Oryzias latipes: one gene and its partners. The protein of the gene in region 4 binds, or shares a complex with, the protein of the main gene of each other region. Links are inferred from orthologs where the notes say so. Each region holds a gene or a part of one and is shown on either strand. Other genes may lie near its edges.

Region 1 (5,069 bases), on a different chromosome or scaffold from region 4:
CAGGTTTACCTTTGAAGGTGGTTATGGAGGCAATCCAGCAAGCAACGGGTACAGAAATCTAGTATTACTTCAGTATTAGTATTTGTTAGCTTTTTAAAAAAAATCCTTTTGTTTTTCAGTGGCCAAAAGGGAAATCCTTGGAATCATGAACAAATGCATTGCAAAACCAAGAGAGAGCAGGAAAGAGAACGGACCAGTCGTTGGTAAATATTGTAAAGGGATCTACACATCTCTTTGGAAATGTTGTGGTTTAATGAGCGCTGGGTTCTGGTAGAAAATGTGCGGGTGCCTGCATCTCGAAGAGCGCGCTTTGTCGGCCCAGGAGGATATAACCTACGCAAACTGCAAGCTCAGACAGGTATTCTGGTAATCGAGCACTGATTACATTTGGATGTGCAGAAGTGTTTAATTTAGTCTTTTTGTTTCCTCTAAAGGTGTCACTATAAGTCAGGTGGATGAAGAAACGTTCTCTGTGTTTGCTCCAACTCCTGGAGCTATGAATGAAGCCCAGGAGTTCATTAGCGATATCTGCAAAGACGATGTGAGCCAACAACAAAATCCAGAATGCATCTGGTTTATTCATTAATTATCAGTTTGATATTCCAGACTATCACTGAACCTTGCCTATATGTACCTAAAGCTCGAGCATTAATGTTGCTTCCCATTTGCAGCAGGAGCAGCAGTTGGAGTTTGGTGCCGTCTACACTGCCACCATCACAGAAATAAGGTAACCTTATTTACTTTTGAGGGCTGAAAGCGAGCCCTGATCCAGCCACTGATGGACATACCTCTCTGTTTTAGGGACATTGGTGTGATGGTTAAACTATATCCAAACATGACGCCTGTCTTGCTGCACAACTCCCAGCTGGACCACAAACGGGTTTGTAAAACGCACTTTGGTGGACTTTTTTAATCTGTTTTTGTTAAACCACACCATCCAATTTTCTTTTATAGAGCACTTAAATGATCTGTTCTGATCTGAAGTGGTGTACAATCATGTAAACAAAAAAGAAGATAAAAACAATGCACAAGTAAATTGAAAATAATCAATCAAATAAAATGACGAAAATGTATCTCTTGTAGATCAAGCATCCAAGTGCTTTGGGTTTGGATGTAGGACAGGAGATACAGGTTTGTGTCAGCTGTTCAAAGTGACCTGTTTTATTGCCACTGTGGGGTTTCTTTTTTTCTAACAAGTGTTCTCCTGACAGGTGAAGTATTTTGGACGAGATCCAACAGACGGCAGAATGAGGCTTTCACGAAAGGTGTTGCAGTCTCCTGCCGCCACTGTCGTCAAGACGCTAAGTGAGAAACAGAGCATTTCCATGGGTTCAAACATCAGCGAAAGATCCGACTTGTGACAGAATGGCACAGCGCAGAGTTTCCTGACTAATCCACCAACTACAATTCGAAAGGAATATTACTTTTGAAGTAGTAATCCCAAGAAAGATGCAACAGATGTCGTAAACATGGCACTATTGGACAAATGAGGCATCTGGCTGACAAGAACAGAATTGTGTTTTGTTTTTTTTGTGTTTTTTTTTAGGTTTGTCCTTGTTATGTCATGTATCAGCAACAATGCTTCTTGTACTTCCACAAATATTTGTGCCTTATGTGGTGGTATGATTACAAGTTTGCAAAAGTCTAGTACTTGCTATTGTTTAGGATTTTTACATTTCATATCTATTGTCCTCTAATATACTGGTATAGAAACAAAAACAAAGTGGGAGAACTTCACAGCATATGTACTTGTTTTTTTTTATTTATAGTCTATGTAAATACACAAATACATGGCATTTCTTAATCATTTTGGAAATAAATAAAACGTTTTTTTTCTATAATCTAATATTGAAATGTATTGTTTTATGCATTATTTGGTAATTGTTTCAAATATTTATGTGACGAAAACTAAATTATTTTTTTTACTTAAAATGCATGAGGTACTGCAGTTCCTTTCCCAGCCATTAAGTTGCGGAATTCCCAGTTGCCTGAAGGAATAAGCCCCGCCCCACGCACGGCAGTTAGCGCATGATTGACATCCGCGATGAAAAAGAGCACAAGATCGGATTACAAGATGGCGGTCCGTGGACGTTAGCAAGAAGGCCATCAGAGTTGTTTCTTTAAATTTCTCAGTTTGAAATCAGACTGTCTATTTGGATTTATAACCGCAAACGTGATATGTTTGCGAGATATATTCGACTACTACTGTAAACGTCAACCTAGACTGGCATGTTTTGTAACATGCAGGTGGGAACAAAGTTAACAGGTCGAGGAAAGCAGTAAACGGGGTGAGGTGATAGCTTAGCAGCCTGCTAGCTCCGATTCGATTAGCCATGTCGGACACTCGGCGGCGAGTAAAGGTATACACGCTAAATGAAGACAGGCAGTGGGACGATCGGGGTACAGGTCATGTTTCATCTACGTTTGTGGAACGACTGAGGGGAATATCACTGCTAGTTCGAGCCGAATCGGACGGTAAGTTCTCTGTTAGCATTAGCTAACTAGCATGCTATATTTTAAATAGCAAAGCTCTTAGTTTGATAGCATTTCTGACTTGGTGGATGTATTTATGCAGTTGGTGTAGCGTTGTGTGTCACTAAATTAATTGTTTTAGACCAATTGGTATATATTTACTTTGAAAACATGAAGTCAAATGTTTGTTTTTCTTTTTCCGGAGAGTCCTCATTTCCAACGACTAGTTGGTTTGGTTGGTCGTAGTAGCATGGGCCCCCCCTCAAAGTCGCGGCGCACACGTTTACACTTGCTCGTTGTAATAAACTTAATCTATTCATGGATATTGCTCTATTTCTGCTACTATTACGTCAGGCTGTATTAATTTGGTTCATAAACTACTGTATTTATTTTAGCTGTTATTCTGATCTTATTTTGAACTAATCATCATTGTGGTTCATACGTCTATTGTTGGCAAATAGTTAATTGGTTTGTAAATAGTTTCATACCACTCTGAAAATTAAGCAATTCTGTTTTTTATTAGGATCTTTGTTGTTGGAATCAAAGATAAGTCCGAATACTGCATATCAGAAACAACAGGTAAGTATTTAATATTTCAACAATTAAGGAGTTTTATACTTGGTTTAATTGAGTCTTACAATTGAAAAGCTATTGCATAATAGTAAAGTTTTCCTCCTCTGTGGTTATTCTGTTGTAAGAAAGTTGGGAATAGATGATGTGTAATTATGCTAGTATACTAAGCTTTTTTTACTTGAAGACTTTGTAATGTGAAATACTGTTATATTTATCATCAGTACAATTGTTCAACCTTAGGAATAACACAATTGTGGTATTTCATTACCACAAGAAAACATATACATTAAAACAATACTAGACATCTTATGCAGGGGAAATGAAAGGGAGCAGCAATAAGAAAAATATATCTTTCTACCCCTAAAAACATTTAGAAGAGGTACATCTACAACTATGTACACAGAAGTATCTTCTTTTTTTACTTTTCTACACCTGTTCAGTCATTTAAAAACAAAGTCGTTGGTTGTATTTTTGTATGAGTACAATGATTAAGGCACACATTCTGGGTTTAAATTAAGCTTTATTTAAAGTTTTAATGTAAAATATGTTTGAAGACAATTGTTGTTGTTGCTATTTTTGTATTTTTGGTAATAGGAAAAAGTTTCATTCTTTTCTTTCAGGACACACTGATTGTTTGGTCAGAAGCGGATAATTACGATCTTGCTCTAAGCTTCCAGGAAAAGGCTGGCTGTGATGAGATTTGGGAAAGGATCTGTCAGGTAATTACAAATAAAGACAGTTCAGCATGTCCCTCCTTCTTGGTGTCCCTTCTCTTTGATGTTTGAAAAACGTTCCTGTCAGGTGGGACTTTGTAACTGTTACTGTATAACGATTGAAACATGTTAAATAACATATATATTTTTTTATAAATAAAGGGATTGAGGGTTTTGGTCTTTTAACTCGTTAAAGTTTGACATTGTATTTTAGCAAAAAAAATAAGTTTATTTTTAGCTGTGGCTCATACCTGCAAGTATCACATACGTTTAGAATGTATAAGAATGCTGCGAGTTTTGCAGTTTTTACTACCAGTATCCCAAGTAAGGGAGTTCATGATTCTTTACTGTAAATTTTTTTTTTTAAATATGTGATTTTTATTTTATTATTTTTGCTCAGGTACAAGGCAAAGACCCTGCTCTGGACATCACTCAGGATCCCATCGATGAATCAGAGGAGGACCACTTTGAGGAAATTCCAGAGACAAGCCACTTGGTTGAGCTCCCGCCATGTGAACTAGGTCGACTTGAGGAAATCGCTGACCTGGTTACCTCTGTTCTCTCCTCACCCATTCGGCGCGAAAAACTTGCACTGGCTCTAATGAGTGAGGGCTACATAAAGAAACTGCTGGGTCTCTTCAGAGTATGCGAGGACCTGGACAACAGAGAAGGCTTGCATCACCTCTATGAGGTTGTGCGGGGAGTCTTGTTCCTCAACAAAGCTGCCCTTTTTGAGGTGATGTTCTCGGATGACTGTATCATGGATGTGGTAGGTTGCCTTGAGTATGACCCAGCATTGGTTCAGCCTAAAAGACATCGGGAGTTCTTGACCAAGACCGCAAAATTTAAGGAAGTGATCCCGATTACGGACTCTGAGCTGCGGCAGAAAATCCACCAGACCTACAGAGTTCAATACATCCAGGACATAATACTGCCTACACCCTCAGTGTTTGAGGAGAACTTCCTGTCCACCCTCACGTCCTTCATTTTCTTCAACAAAGTGGAGATTGTCAGTATGTTGCAGGTAAGGATCTAAACCAGGCTAAAGTGAGTGTAAGTTTCAGTTTAATGTATTTAACAATGTAAATTAAAATGTTTTCTATTAAAAGGGATTCTTTTAAGATGTAATCAACATTCTGCACATTGACTGTTGGACAGTCTGTATCTTCTGTTGTTCGCTACGTTAATGTACTCTCTCCAGTTTCTAATACAAAAAAATTTATGGCAAAAAAATGAAATTGTGATTTTAAAAATGTGTTCTCTACATAAATAGGAGATAATTGAGAGAAACTGAACAGGATAATACTTGTG
Region 2 (4,340 bases), on a different chromosome or scaffold from region 4:
CGTTTTTTTGCATCTTCAACTTCTAGTTCTCTGATTTCTTCTTCACGTTGATGTTGGGTTTTCATTATTTTGATGACTTCTTCTGAGGCGGCTACTTCAGCTGCTGCTAGTTGTCTTTGTACTGTGTCAGAAGATGACCGCTTGGACATATCAGACATGACCTTTGATTTGTAAGACATGCTTGAAGAAGTACTACTTGAACTACTGTGAAACACTGATTCAGAATCTGGCCAAGGAATATCTTCTGGATTGCCATCTTGTTCGAGTAAACACTGTGCTTTAGCTTTGGCTGTGTGACTGATCGTATGGCACATGTCACATTTTCTTCTTATTTCAATGTCTGGACTTCTAATTTGTCTTATTGAATCATAGATATTGCAGATTTCTTTCTGAAACGTGTCTATTGTGTCCACAGCTTCAGCGATTATTTCTATGTCTTTACCTCTCATAAATCTCCTGAAACAGTTTATGTGATACTTCCACTTTTTGTATAGACACTCAAATTCTTTTGTTAAATCAGTCAGGTGAGCTTCTTGCAGAGATTTTCCCTTTTCAGTTAGTGTGCGTTTGCGCTGACTTTTGCGAACTGCTGTTTGTTTACTTTCAGCTGATACTGATGTTTGCAGAGTTTCTTCTCCATCTGACTGCTCATTATCATCATCTTGTGTTTTACATTCTGCACCGTCTTCCTTAGTGCGCCCTTCTGTATCCTTCTCCTCATCTGCCATTTTGAGTGTAAATTGTAGCTTGTAGTTGTCTTAAGCTTGATATGCATTCACTTTTTGATGCCTCAGCTCTCTATCTTTAGCTTTCACATGCAGCTGTCTAGTTTTGTGCTGCTCCAAAAAATGCACTTTGGTTCTTGTTTGTCTAACTCTCACTTGATCACTTTACCTTAGATTTTGCAGTGCTTCGTTTAAGCATGTGATCCTTCCCTTGTATTTGCAGCTTCTTGCTTGCAGCTTGCTTCAGTCCCGACAGTGCTTTGCCTTCTCCGGGGCAGTAAAGTGTTCTACTGTGCCGGCTTGGTCATTTTTTCACACAGACGAGAGGCGTTCGAGTTCCTTGTACTGCTGTTTAATGTGGTGTTCCTTTCTTTAAACTTTACACCGCATCAACATCCGTAGAACACTTTGGCCTGCTAATGAACCAACCGGTGAACTAAAACACAAAAATTCTTCTTAATTGTTCTCTTATTGCCGTCTGTCGTGCTGACTTTGCATGTGCTGCTCTTATAGGAAACAGGAAGTGCCTATTACAACCTGTAACTGAACTCAGGTAAACTAAACATTAAAAACTCTTCAAAATTAAATCTTACTGCTCCTAAAGCTTCATAGGTGTGATATAAAATGTAGAAAATACAAATATTTAAATCTACAAATTAAAGAAAAATAATTAAAAACGTTTTAGGTAGCACTGCGGCAGAGCGCCCTCTGCTGTCAAAATAAATAACTACTAAGACATCAACTGCTATAGTATTTAATTAAGTCTATCTAATTGCATTGTAATGGTTGGACTAAACTGGATTGTAACATCTGTAATGAATCTGGACATGTTTATATTGATTTCTCATGGCTTATGTGCAGCTCTTTGAGACACCCTTGGTTGTGAATCGGTTCTCTGTAAATAAACAGAATTGACCTGAAAAACGAGAAATAATGACTGTTCATGCTTTACTGCACATAAGCAAAACTGTGATATAGCATGATATTTAGGTCTGGGGTCTTTTCTATTCTCTTGTGTCAGGGCTCAGTAAGTTCTGCAGCCAATTTATCAGTTGTGCTAATCCTCAGTCTGGTCCTGGAAGATCCAAACTAGTTCACTGAAATGATTCTTCAACAGACCTGAGGCCTGCAGCTAAAAAGGGAACCAGAAGAACATAGATTGGTTAAAGTTTTTAGAGTCTGAACTGGTTTTAGTTCAGATATTCTAGCTCTAATTAACTCTCATGTCTTTAGCCAGGGTCAGGAGATGCAGAGGGCCTGCGTCATCAGTAACTTACCCAGTCTAGTTCGCCAGAACCCTGCTGAGACATTCCGCCGGGTTGTACCAAAGGTTCGGGTATGTAAACACCATAAAGCTGCTTCAGATTTCAAGAGGTGACGGGGTTTCACCTGATATGCTTCTGTTCTCCAGGAGGTCCTAAATGGTGCAGGTGTTGAGATCCAGCTGGCAGCAGCAGCTTCGTTTTTAACCATCTTGCAGGATGACATAATTCTGATCCACACTCACACCTATTCCATTCTAAAGACTGTCCTGCAGCAACTGAACCACAGAGACACAGGTAAACTCACCTGAACCACAGAGACACAGCTTGGATTTGATTTGGATTTGAATGATTTATACAAGTATTTAAATAATACAATTTTAAAAAGTATAAAATTCAGAGTTATCAAAGCTATTTTACATATTAGGTAATACATTAATTAAAAAGCAAATATAATAAAAAAAAAAGGGCTGCACGGTGACGCAGTGGTTAGCGCTCTTGCCTCACAGCCCCTGGTTCAAGTCCCAGCTGGGGGACCTGAACCAGAACATCAATGGGGGGCCCTTTCTGTGTGGAGTTTGCATGTTCTCTCTGCGTGGGTTCTCTCTGGGATCTCCGTCTTCCTCCCACTGTCCAAAAACATGCTTCATAGGTTAATTGGTCACTCTAAATTGTCCATAGGTGTGAGTGTGAGAGTGATTGTGATTGAGGCCCTGCAACAGACTGGGGACCTGTCCAGGATGTACCCTGCCTTCGCCCACAGGTAGCCGTAATTAACCAATCAGGACAGGTAATTAATAGGCTCCGGCAGCCCCGTGACCCCGAAAGGGATAAAACGGGAGAAAATGAATGAATGAATGAATATAACAAACAAAGGAGAAAGAAGATGCCATCTTTTGACAGAGTAATTACTCATAACTAAAAATAAAGGTATTTTCCCCATACATAGAGTACAGACACAACACACATTAGATTCCTTAACCCTTGTGCTTTCTTAGATGACCCCCCCCTTGCATTGACGTGTTCTCCCTAACATGACAAAGGTGGATAAAGGTGGAAAGATTTCATGTAATCCATGGACACCAGTGAAGATCACAAATCATTGAAGAAAAAAGGTTCAGAGCACTGTCTAGTGGGTCTAGATGAGTTGCAGAAACTCAGATTGTCTTTGTAATGTTTACGTTTTATTACAACCACTGAATTAGGATGCTCAGAGCTGAGATGTTGAAATGAGGCCAATGCTGATTTTGCCTTGTGTTTGGCTGACATTGTTGTTTCTGTCACAGTGGTGAGCAGCGCCTGGTTGGAGACTCTGCTGTCAGCCATAAATGTTCTTCCCAAGGAAACCATCAAACAGGAGGTTAGCTCCAACTCAAACTTCCTGTTGTATTTGTGATTGTGTTCACCTGCTCTTTGCTAACTGATGAAAAGAACTCAGTGGATGTTCAACATTATAAATCTGTAAAATATCTTTGATAGCTGTGCCTGTCTCTGTCCTTCCAGGTGTTGAACTCTCTCATGTATCAGACGCAGATGTCTCATTTCCTTCAGGGTCGTTTGGCTGCTTGCCGTATTTTAGGAAAAGTTGCCTCTAGGTTTAATTGTCACATGTGAGTTCCACAAACTGAAACACAATGCTCCTTGTTTATCACACCTTCCTGGTACTGTGAAGACCTGAACAGGTACATCGTCTGCTTGTCAGGGTGATGAAGGAGTTGTTGCCACTGGCTCGTTCTTTGCTTCAGGATGTGGAACCTGAAGTCCGTGCCTGCATGTGCAATCACTTGGAGAGCATTGCCAGAGCCATTGGGTAACTGCTCCCAAACAAAAGAGAAACTGAACAACAGGTGACCAATGCACACCACATGTCTCTAATAAAAGCTTTCCTTGGGTTTATGCTTCAGTGAAGACAATTACAGGACAGAACTTTGGCCAGAGCTTGTTGAGCTTGCTGGAGATGAGGAGAACAGTGTCCAACTGGCAAGCTTTGACACAATCATCAACCTGATGGAGATGATAGATGGCAGTGAGTGCAGAATGAAAGCCCTCCTTGCTGAGCAAATCCCTGTACAACATATTTAAATTCCTAATTTCTTTTCAGAGGACCTACTTCCTGTCATGGTTCCCATGGTGATGATGGTTTGTGAGGCTGCAGCACAGGCGGATGAAGCAGTTATGGTGTCCCTGTCCTTCCAGTTTGGGAAGCTTTGCAATGGATTGGCTGGTGAGACCAGCACTGCTTGTTTGTTTGTTACACCTTGAAGTGTTCTTGAATCCTTACATGGATAACAAAGGCTGTAAGTGGATGTTCAGGCACCACATGAACTAAAGTTGAATATTTTATTAAGAAATG
Region 3 (4,836 bases), on a different chromosome or scaffold from region 4:
GATGCCTTCCTTACCTTTAACCAGACAGTGTCGTCATCACTAAGGATTCGTTTTTAGTATTTTACTCTGATATGTTTAGAAACTGCTGTAATTCAGTGGAAGATGTACCAAAATATGCAGTAATGACAGGTAATAAATACCACTCAAAGGTTCTGCTGGTGTTCAGTTGTGCCGTTAAAATAATTCCACCTTAAATGTCTGCTCCAGGTTTCCTGTTAGCATTCGTAGACCCAAACAATTGCATTTCTGTTTTTGTTTTCAATGTAAGACGGTTTAGTCCTGCATTGACTTTGCCTTGACTTCAGGTAGAATTCTTTTTTGAGTCTCAGGTTTTCTTTTCTGTCACATCTACAAAGTACCCGACTCTGTCATGGTTTGTTTGAGTTTCCTGGCTTTTGTATTTGGTTCTATTTTAGTTCTGATTCCTGTTTTATTTTGATAGGTTTCCTGTTTTGTATCGTGTTTTTCGGGTTTTACCTTTGGTCCCCATCTGTCCTGATTGTTTCCACCTGTGTCTTGTTTGTGTCTATTTAAGTCCTGTCTTTCTCCTCCTCCTGTGTTGCTCCATAGTTTTGCTGTTTTTCTAGTTTTTGGTTTGTCTTGCCTGCTCAGCAGTGGTCTTTGGTTTATTAAAGCTCCTTTTCACCCGGAACCTCCTGCCTTCTCCTCTCTGCGTCTGGGTTCTCCCTCAGCCCCCTCCGTGACAAACACTGAATGATTTTAACCATCAGCACAATTAAGAAAGCACAACAAATATATTTGAAAAACAGCTTTACATTTTAGAAACTATGCCTATGGGACTCTGGCTTCTTGGATCAACTTCCTGTTTGGAACGCCAGGGGGAGGGGCCACTCAGTCCAGTTCTTTCATACGGTCAATGGTGGAGGTGGAACTTAGCATATTGAAGCAACACCCCATAAATGCAAATGGTTGACACTGGTTGGGGGGGGGGGGGTTGCTTTTTTTCACTTTGAAAAAACACCATGAAAAATGATGCAATGACAATGTTTTAACATTAAGTTAAAACAATAAAGTAGAAATAAAATACAGTCAACGTGAACAATATAACAATGAAAAGGTTAAAACTTCTGGTGTTGTCAGGTTAAGAGAGAAATAAGTTCAAAGCAAACAATGAGTTCAAATGTCACTTTTAATGTTGTAAATTGAAAATTCATTTTGCATATCTAATTCTAATTTGTCCTTTGATTTATGGGATTGTTTTTATTTTTATTTAACATTTTGTTCTAAAACTATGATTTTAAATTTCAATTTTTCACACGGAATTCTAGATTACAAAATGCCTTTTCAAATAAACAGTAAATAAAAGTGTTACTTGTGTTAAATGCACTTATGACTGAAACCTGGATGAATGAATAAAAACCTTCCGTGTCCCATAGGCCTTAACGTGAGGCCGCCGGCGCTCGAACATGAAGCCGTTTGGGGAAAATGCCGTTTCCGTGCCCGTGTGTGACGCAGCCTCTAGATCTAATCAATGATTATTATTATTATTATTATTTATTTATTTATTTTTAACGGACACTTCGGGGGGGTTTGAACAGCCAGACCGGATCAGCAGGTGGTTGTTCTGTAACGCTCCGTCTGGTCCGTGCGCGGCGCGCGCGCCCTTCACCGGAACTTCCCGTCGTCGTTGTTGATGAGAGCAGCAGAAGCCGACCGGCACGGACGATACCGGGGAAAGAGCCGGTGAAGCAGCGGCCTCACACCCGCAGAGCCATCCAATGACGCATCGGCGTTCGTCCCAACACACCGGTCAATAAGGTAATCGCGCGGAGGCGGTTTTGTCGTTCGGTTTGGCTCCGTGTCGTCGTTTGGCGGACATTTGTGCTAACTGTGCTAGCTTACTGGCTGTATGCTAACCATTCTCTGGGTAAAGCCGCTCAGGTCCCGTTTTGTCCACTTTAAGGTTGTCTGTTGTAACCCGTTACTATATACGTTCAGTCCCTGGTCTGAATCGATGCCGCTGTCGTTGAGTGTGGGAGAAAAAACAATAAAGTTGTTGGTTTGTTATCTACGTGATCGTCGATCAGTGATGTAAGCTAGCATGCTAAGGCTTAGCTCAAGCTACGCCCCAAGGCCTCGCATTCTGCTGCATTACGTATGTTCGGCGCCGCTAAGCCCGAACCTCTGCCTAACTTCACGGTGACATTTTCTGCCTTTCTCTGTTTTTATGTCTGTACGTAAACTGGAACCGGGTCTCTTCTCAGACTCAACGCCACCACGGAGATCGGTCTTTCCGAGACTAGAGCCCTTCCGCCCGGACAGACAGAGAGACGTCACTGTGGCAACAGCCGAGACAGGAACGTGACCTGCAGGGAATTTCAGCTGGAAGAAGCGCGTGAGAACCAGCGCGAGGAGGTCTCTATGTGCGTGACAATGGGAGACATCAGTGACCTGGACCGGCAGATAGAGCAGCTGCGAAGATGTGAGCTGATCAAGGAGAACGAAGTCAAAGCGCTGTGCGCCAAAGCCAGGTGGGAGCTGTGTTCCCCTCCACTGCTGGGGGGCCACACTTTTTCTGCATCACGCCAGCCACTAAAAACCACAAGCCGCAGTTTCCTTAGGCCCATGATGGAGCTTTCCATTCTGAACACAACATAACTGAAATGTCTCTATAGGCCTATTAAGCAAATAATAATATTTCTTCCAAGTACTGTTAAATTCTGTACCAAAGGCTGTAGCCAGTGGCCGCTCATTACCATGATTCGCTGGTTCACAGATGTCTGCATAAGTTTACTGTAAGTTGTTCCAAATCGTAATCAAAGTATAAGCTCCCAGAATGCACCGCAACACGTGTCTTTTTAAATATATCCTTACATACACAGACTTAATATGAAAAGACTTTAAAGTGACTCAGAAAATTATTTAGAATTCAGTTGATACATTTAGATTCACATATAAGATATGATAAAAAGTTCCTTCAGCAGCTTGTTGATTTGGACCTGTGTGTGTTTTGTTGTTATGTTAACAGCAGAGCATCGCACAGCAGAAACATTTCTATTGCTAGGAGTCTGACGCTGAATGCTCCTCTTTCTCAAGTTTAGGAGGAAGAAAAACTCCAGATCAGCCCCCCCCCCCCCCTTTTTTTTTTTTGTTCTGTTTTGGGCTTCATTCTTGGGATAAGCTAATACTTCTTCCAGGATCTACTTGGTTGTCGTTGAAGTGAGAGCATGCCCGGCTACAGTAGGTCCGCCCCCCCTTGGCCCACTCAGGTTTTATACCAGGTGACAAGCCTGGCGGTGGAGCAGCGGCGGGGACAGGGCGCACACCGGGCCGGGCCCCTGATTCATGGACAGAGCTCGAGAGGCACAGGCTTCTGCCCGAGCGGGCCTCAATCATTCAGGCAGAAACCGCAGACCCGGCAGCCGGTGCCGTGGCAGGACGGCTGGGTCAGACGGGGCTTCACGGTCTCGTTTCCGATCAGGGAGGCGCTGGCCGACTTGTGCTTCCATACACGGTTCTGCAGGCTGGAGAGACGCTGTCCCGGGGACCCGGCGGACAGTGTGCCGGTCGACCTGCTGCTCGTATAGTTGAACACGGATGTGCAATGACCTTTTCATCACAGGATGTTTGTTTGGCTGTTCTGCATTCTTATCAAGTGATTTACTTCATGACAAGGATGATGATTGGCAGACGGCAATAAAAACAATCAAAGTTTCTTTTTGATGGCCCATGATCAATTCGCATTGATCAGGGTTGACTAGTCGATCGTGATGGACGCACTAGGCAGTGCTATATCGGTGCTATTGTCACCTGAAAAGTGCTTTTCCTGTAGAAGGTGAAGAGTTACTGGAAACTAGAGAATGAAGGATTGTTCAATACTGTATTTTTCAATATTCCCAGAGTTATTTCTTGAAATGATGAAAAAAACTTCTTTTGTAATTGACAGATTTCAGAACACTGTCACTTTTTTTAAACAGAACATGTTTAGAACCTCATTGTCATACGTGTTCATGACTTTCTTTCAGAGAAATCCTGGTTGAAGAGAGTAACGTTCAGAGAGTAGACTCTCCAGTCACTGTAAGTTCCATTTGCTGCTTTTAAATCCAAAGTCGTTGATTGTTCGTTTGACCTTCTGTTCTCTTATTTTTTGTAGGTTTGTGGTGATATACACGGTCAGTTCTATGACCTGAAAGAACTCTTCAGAGTAAGCTTTTATGTTTGTTTTAATCCAAGCTCCAGACAAAATCGTGGTTTATTTTCCTGCACTGCTGTTTGGTTTTGATGGTTGGACACTTCTTCTTTATGGGCTGTGACGTAGGGCTGGACCATTAATCAGTTATGTCCAATTTGATGTTTTAGACTGTTTATTTTTGAGAAAATGGAGACGTTTCCCCCCAGCTCTCTGCTCTCTTCCGTGTTGGGAGTAAAAGCCGCCCGCCGGTCCGTCCAAAGCACGGATGTGAGAACAGCAGCGAGCAAAGAGGAGCTACTTCAGCGAGGCGGAGCAATGAAAACACGAGCGCCACGAGAAGTGCCCCGTAACTTCTGCTAGTGACCTCTGTGTAGAAATAGCAGTACTCTGTACTCAGTAGTTTTAACAGAATGTCTGTACAGAGGCCTTGAAATGTGTTTGCTGATGCCAGATCCAGGTCAACTTTAAAGCAAACGGTGTTATTAAAACAAAAGTTGGGCTGTTTGCTTTAAACTGCCCTTCATTCTGTCTGTACACGTGTGGGTTTACAGCACAGCCGCGCTCCTCTGGTGTCCGATGGTCCGACCGGTTCTCCTCAGGCTGTACTGTGTGTTTTAGCCTGAGGCCTTCTGCTGGCCTCTTTGTGTTTTCTGCCAAAGGGATGAAGAAACGGTAGCGGGTCA
Region 4 (5,134 bases):
CGTGAACTTGGGTGGGGGGGGTCACTGATGTGGACATGTCTCCAAAATATTGTTTCCCCACTTCAGTACAAAGCCAGGTCTCTACATTCCATCAATTTATCACTCTTTTTATCATGGTGTGTGTATGTATGTGTGTGTGTGTGTGTATGGGGGGGGGGGGGGGGGGGTTGTCGGCATTGTTTGTCGTGTCATTTTGTTTTTCAATTTGATTGTATTTTATGCAAAGCACTGAGTGACATGTGTTGTAAAAGTGCTACATAAATAAAGGTTGATTTGATTATTAAAATAAACGAAATAAATGGATTAAATTGATACTGGAAATGATCATTGGGATTAAGGCACATTAGGTTTATTTTACTATGACCAGGTATCATCACAGCAGACGACACGCATGTGATGGCAGCAAAAAATGATCAAGACATCGATCCAGTCCAATGTGTGGAAATAAATTGGAGTTTTGCAAAGACATGTGACCATAGAGTGTGATAGAATGTTCTAATAATGTTCAGTTTGTATTATTTTAATGTAGAAAAACAATAGTGGGCTGAACTTTATGAAAACTAAATGTGAATGGATTTGCCATTAATTCTTGTTTGGACACATGTTTAATTTATACTTGATTATGTTGCAAGAAACAAGGAATCTGGAAAACTTCACCTGTTCAGTGCCCAGGTATATATCTTATCACTGGTTGAATTTTTGGCTAAATATGTCCTGGATCGATTTTAGGTCAGTAGGGTTGTTCTAAATGAACACATATTAAATATGAATCGTATCGTTGATAAATGAATCTTTACACACTTAATCAAAACATGTCTATGAAGACTCTCATTCATCCATTTGGATAAGAAGTGAAACGTCTTCTAACTTTAAAAACCAAGTCCAGATGACAGCCCCTAAACCGACGACTTTACTTACTGATCAAAGCACAACCTGTTCAGTAAAATTTCAAAATAAGAGAGCAAAAATCCCTGACAACAAAACTGTCTGGGACAGTTGTAGGTCTTTGTACTTTTATTCAACGCGTACAATATGTTGCAATTATTCGATGAAAACCACTGACTCGTGTAAACTTCCAACTTTAGGCAACAAATAAAAACAAAAAAACATATTTAGGTCATGAAAATTCAGAAATCAACGTTAAAATAAAAAACCGGAACTTTGCCGAAGTTTTGAAAATGACATCCTTTAAACAAATTATGAATAACTCCCCATAAGAAGATGATGCTCTAAAAGTGTCGGTTTAAGTTGAGCAAGACAAAGGCCGATAAATCTATACAAACATTACAAGAATTAAGAGGTCGATTTACACAACGAGGAACTTAAGGCGTTCCCCTTTTGATTAACCGAGGCTCGTTTTAACACAATATGCAATAATCATTTTTGTTTATGTTTATCTAAAAATCAATAGCTACTTACCCCTAAGAGACACACTTTTAACTCTCTCAACGCCATATCAGTCTCCTCTTTCAGAGTGACTTTAGATGAAGATCATGGACAGTTTCTCTTCTGCTTGCTTGTTTATATCTTGAATTTTCTTGAGTGGGAATGATTACGAACAGTCTCGTTTCATGGTTGTCAATAGATGGATAATATACATCTCTGGGTTGTTATTAAAAGTATCTCAAAGGTCCTACAGCCCGTCATACAGGCATAATGTCGTTTACTGTAAGCATCCAGCTAGCTAACACAGCGAACCCTCCAAATTGCTCGGTCTCCATCTTGAACCTCGGCGTGTGGTCACGTGATTACATTGGCTCTTCTTTTTGTGTGTTTGTGTGTGTGTGAAGGTACACAAAGAGCCTCACACTCCGTGACGCGTCCACGCTCAGTTATGTCGAGTTTGTGTTTGAACTGCAAAAAGGTTACGTAAGTATTCGCTCCAAAGATATGCAGCCCGTATATACCAGCATATATGCAGTGTCTAGCACCAGGAAATACTTTCAGGAAGTAGTTCGCCGCCGTGTTTGAGTGACAGCTGTGGGGTAGTGACAGCAGCCCGCAGAGCCGAGCCAATACTCAAGATGGCAGGTAATACACTTTTTAAAACCTCCAATTAATATTATTTTTCACTTTCACATTTTTCAAGTTTCAAATCTGTTTCAGGAAAGTGTAGAAATTACATAAAGACGTTCATGTTAGCTGTTTTTGGTACCCGTGTTGCTAAATCGTGCTAAAGCCGCGTTAGCACTATTGGCAACCCTAGCTAACTAGCTAACGACAGCTACTGAGCGGTGTCGAATTAAGTCCCATTCCGGTCGTTTTTTAAACAAATATCGTCACTTTCCGTTTAGTTTGGCTTGTAAAGAACAACTTTCAACTCTTAAAAGCTTGTTGTCCGTCCTTGCTTACGTATTTTCGACCTGTTGACAGAGCAAACGTTAGCTTGATAGCTACATACAGTTAGCCAGTAGCTGACCAAATCCTTCTTTACACTATAACAAAGCGGCTTTGCTGTTCTTCACCCCACTGCTCAAAAGATGCTTTGAAGCCTGTCTCGATGTTTTCTTCAGTCACGAAACACGTTTTTTGGATGTAATTTTGTTAAAAGAAAGTGCTTCAAATTTGTAGCACATTCCTTTGCTTGCAATGTCTAACTGTAAACACATGATCCACTTCCTTCACTTGGTTTGCTTTGCTTTCTCTGTTTTAGCACACGTTTTGTGGTCTTCCTTGACTTAAAAGTTGTTTTTTGATGACGCTTGGGCTTTTTTGTTTTTATTAATTAACTTAATACTATGCTAATAATGATGTTAAGGAATTTTATTAATAAAATAAATCACGAAATATATAAATAGACTTTCTAAAAGGTCTAGATTCATAGATTCTGTCATCACAGATGGGCTATGGGATGAGGATCATAAACCTTGTGTTGTTATATTTGGTTTTTGAATTTAAATTTGATCAGTTTTTGGTCTTCTTTATATACTTTCATTTCCTTTGGTTAGTTATTTCTGTTACTGTTAGAATAATGTAATGCCAAATATGAAAATGTAATTGAATTTGGACCAACTCTGAACATGTTGATTCCTAAATCAAAATGTTTTAACAAAAATAAAAGGATATAGCTGTATAATATTGCACGGTGCTTCTACAGATGAAGTGTTTATTTCCTCTGTTGGACTCAGAAAAGACACATCTGGACTGTATTTGACTGAAAAAGCAAACTATAAAAGACACTGCAATATAGTATCTTATTTTTACCATTAGCACTCTTTATTCTTCAATCAAATGACACATTTTTTTAAATAATCAAAATGTGTCTAATATGACCAAATGTACTAGATCCAAAGCAGAACATCAGGTGTACAGCTAACAATAACAATAAGCATACAAGGCATCTTTCCAATGCCAAATACGTACTTTTTTGTGTTAAACTTTTGTTTTAAAACTAAAATCAAAACTAAAAAGTCATTTCAGATTGTGTTCATTTAGAAAATACTAACACAGCCTCATCCATTTTTATAGCCTCTGTTATTCATTATGGGGGCTGTGATTTAACCTGATCAGCGATTTGTGTACACTAAACTTCATTAAGAGGCTGCAGACTGAAGCATGTTGTGTTTTTATGTGCTGAGTCACATCATGTTTTGTTTAGCATAATAGGGTAGGTGGAAAAATGGCAATACTTCCTAATAAATGTAGAATTTTCTTTGGACCAACAGTGTAAAAAACCAGGTAAAACTAAAAATGTAAAGACATAAAAAAAAAAATTGTGTTTGCTTCTTGTTTTCTACAAAGTCCATCCTCCCTTTAATGTTACATCTTCCTAAATGTGGGGAAATTGTTTATTACAAAAGGTTAGCGTTATGCATTTTCTCTTGGAAAGTTTTTATTCGGCCAAACTTTGTGTTACTGAAATGAAACTTTCTGGTCAGAACCGCAGAAAATCTTCCCCATCATGATTCCTTTACAGTACATGGTGGGAGAAGTGGTGATGGTGTGGTGAGGGTGTTAGTTACTAGAAAAGCCTCTTCTTTTCTGCTTGTCTTTGCAGGTCTATCTTTATACTTTGAAGATAGTCATGATGATATGGATGACTGTAAGTATGCTGGTAAAACTTTACTAAACGTAAAAAAAAATGTTTAAAATATGTTATTTTTGTCATAAATGAATTTGTGATTTATTTATTTATTCCTTCAGGGAGCTTTTCACAAATTATATATATATATATATATATATATATATATATATATATATATATATATATATATATATATATATATATATATATATATATATATATATATATATATACACACACACACACACACTCATCATAATTAGCTTTTTTATTGCTGTTATAAAAGACTAGACAATACTTTTACTTTAACTAGCAACTGCAAATTTAAAAGCTGCGTAATCGTAAAAGGAAACTTACAAATATTATTAAATAGAGCTTTGCGTGTGCACTCATTTTTATTTTTTATAATTCGGTCCTTTGAAAGTACTGATATGTTGGCCAAGTGTTTCTTGACAAAATCCCATTACAAAATACTGGCATGGATTTGTTTACAACGTCCATCCCTGTAAACAACCCTCTGTGTTGTTCCCACAGTTGGATTTGATGACTACGGGTCAGACTGTGACGGCATTCGCATCACGGCTTTTCTTGATGCAGGACAGGACAACCTCACACCTCTTGGGAGGCTAGAGAAATATGCTTTCAGCGAAAATGTCTTCAACAGGTAATTACAGTCCCTGCTTTCAGCCCCTTCAAATCTGCATTCAAAGAGCTCATATTTGGATTTCAGACCCCCGTGACTAGAAGGCTGATTGCTCACATTTGCATTTCTGCTGCTTCTGTAGTCAATGGCTGGTTTGTAATAGAGGAATTGATTGACATCCTCTGAACTGTTGATGATGGATTCCACAGTACCAATGTGTTTTGAGAAAGATAAATGACATAAATGTACATTTGACCAAAGCTAACATTTTTTTCTTCCTTATGTAAATGATAAATGAAACCATAGATAGATAAAAACTTGACATTAATTTTCTACCTGCTGTGTTGCTGACATGTCCTGTTGGTGATTCATGTTGAAAGAATCGTGTCACACCTTGGAAGTCTTGGCAACAAAGAAGTTGTTGCTCAGCAACAATTACCGGTAGCCGAAAGATCTTTTTGCTTTGA

The links.
Region 1: ppp4r1 (region 4) and ppp4r3b share a complex: the UniProt entries of both Homo sapiens proteins name them as parts of the PP4 complex. The link is inferred for Oryzias latipes from reciprocal best matches to the Homo sapiens genes PPP4R1 and PPP4R3B.
Region 2: ppp4r1 (region 4) and ppp4r4 share a complex: the UniProt entries of both Homo sapiens proteins name them as parts of the PP4 complex. The link is inferred for Oryzias latipes from reciprocal best matches to the Homo sapiens genes PPP4R1 and PPP4R4.
Region 3: ppp4r1 (region 4) and ppp4c share a complex: the UniProt entries of both Homo sapiens proteins name them as parts of the PP4 complex. The link is inferred for Oryzias latipes from reciprocal best matches to the Homo sapiens genes PPP4R1 and PPP4C.

The regions. Positions count from the first base shown.
Region 1 is NC_019873.2:15,888,892-15,893,960, forward strand, and holds the start of ppp4r3b (serine/threonine-protein phosphatase 4 regulatory subunit 3B), read left to right. Parts: upstream 1-2,033; 5' UTR 2,034-2,333; coding exon 2,334-2,475; intron 2,476-2,995; coding exon 2,996-3,051; intron 3,052-3,665; coding exon 3,666-3,764; intron 3,765-4,158; coding exon 4,159-4,782; intron 4,783-5,069. Other genes in the region: pnpt1 (polyribonucleotide nucleotidyltransferase 1, mitochondrial), read left to right, coding at 1-48, 120-203, 275-358, 435-541, 672-727, 802-880, 1,084-1,131, 1,212-1,361. UniProt on the Homo sapiens protein: Regulatory subunit of serine/threonine-protein phosphatase 4 (PP4). May regulate the activity of PPP4C at centrosomal microtubule organizing centers.
Region 2 is NC_019882.2:23,175,142-23,179,481, reverse strand, and holds part of ppp4r4 (serine/threonine-protein phosphatase 4 regulatory subunit 4), read left to right. Parts: intron 1-1,958; coding exon 1,959-2,061; intron 2,062-2,136; coding exon 2,137-2,284; intron 2,285-3,273; coding exon 3,274-3,347; intron 3,348-3,490; coding exon 3,491-3,597; intron 3,598-3,689; coding exon 3,690-3,797; intron 3,798-3,891; coding exon 3,892-4,013; intron 4,014-4,088; coding exon 4,089-4,211; intron 4,212-4,340. UniProt on the Homo sapiens protein: Putative regulatory subunit of serine/threonine-protein phosphatase 4.
Region 3 is NC_019866.2:25,212,831-25,217,666, reverse strand, and holds the start of ppp4c (serine/threonine-protein phosphatase 4 catalytic subunit), read left to right. Parts: upstream 1-1,434; 5' UTR 1,435-1,779; intron 1,780-2,225; 5' UTR 2,226-2,382; coding exon 2,383-2,492; intron 2,493-3,986; coding exon 3,987-4,038; intron 4,039-4,114; coding exon 4,115-4,165; intron 4,166-4,836. Other genes in the region: actin-related protein 2/3 complex subunit 1A, read right to left, coding at 1,362-1,395. UniProt on the Homo sapiens protein: Protein phosphatase that is involved in many processes such as microtubule organization at centrosomes, maturation of spliceosomal snRNPs, apoptosis, DNA repair, tumor necrosis factor (TNF)-alpha signaling, activation of c-Jun N-terminal kinase MAPK8, regulation of histone acetylation, DNA damage checkpoint signaling, NF-kappa-B activation and cell migration.
Region 4 is NC_019863.2:13,841,031-13,846,164, forward strand, and holds the start of ppp4r1 (serine/threonine-protein phosphatase 4 regulatory subunit 1), read left to right. Parts: upstream 1-1,813; 5' UTR 1,814-2,024; coding exon 2,025-2,031; intron 2,032-3,997; coding exon 3,998-4,042; intron 4,043-4,558; coding exon 4,559-4,688; intron 4,689-5,134. Other genes in the region: rab22a (ras-related protein Rab-22A), read right to left, coding at 1,420-1,455. UniProt on the Homo sapiens protein: Regulatory subunit of serine/threonine-protein phosphatase 4. May play a role in regulation of cell division in renal glomeruli. The PPP4C-PPP4R1 PP4 complex may play a role in dephosphorylation and regulation of HDAC3.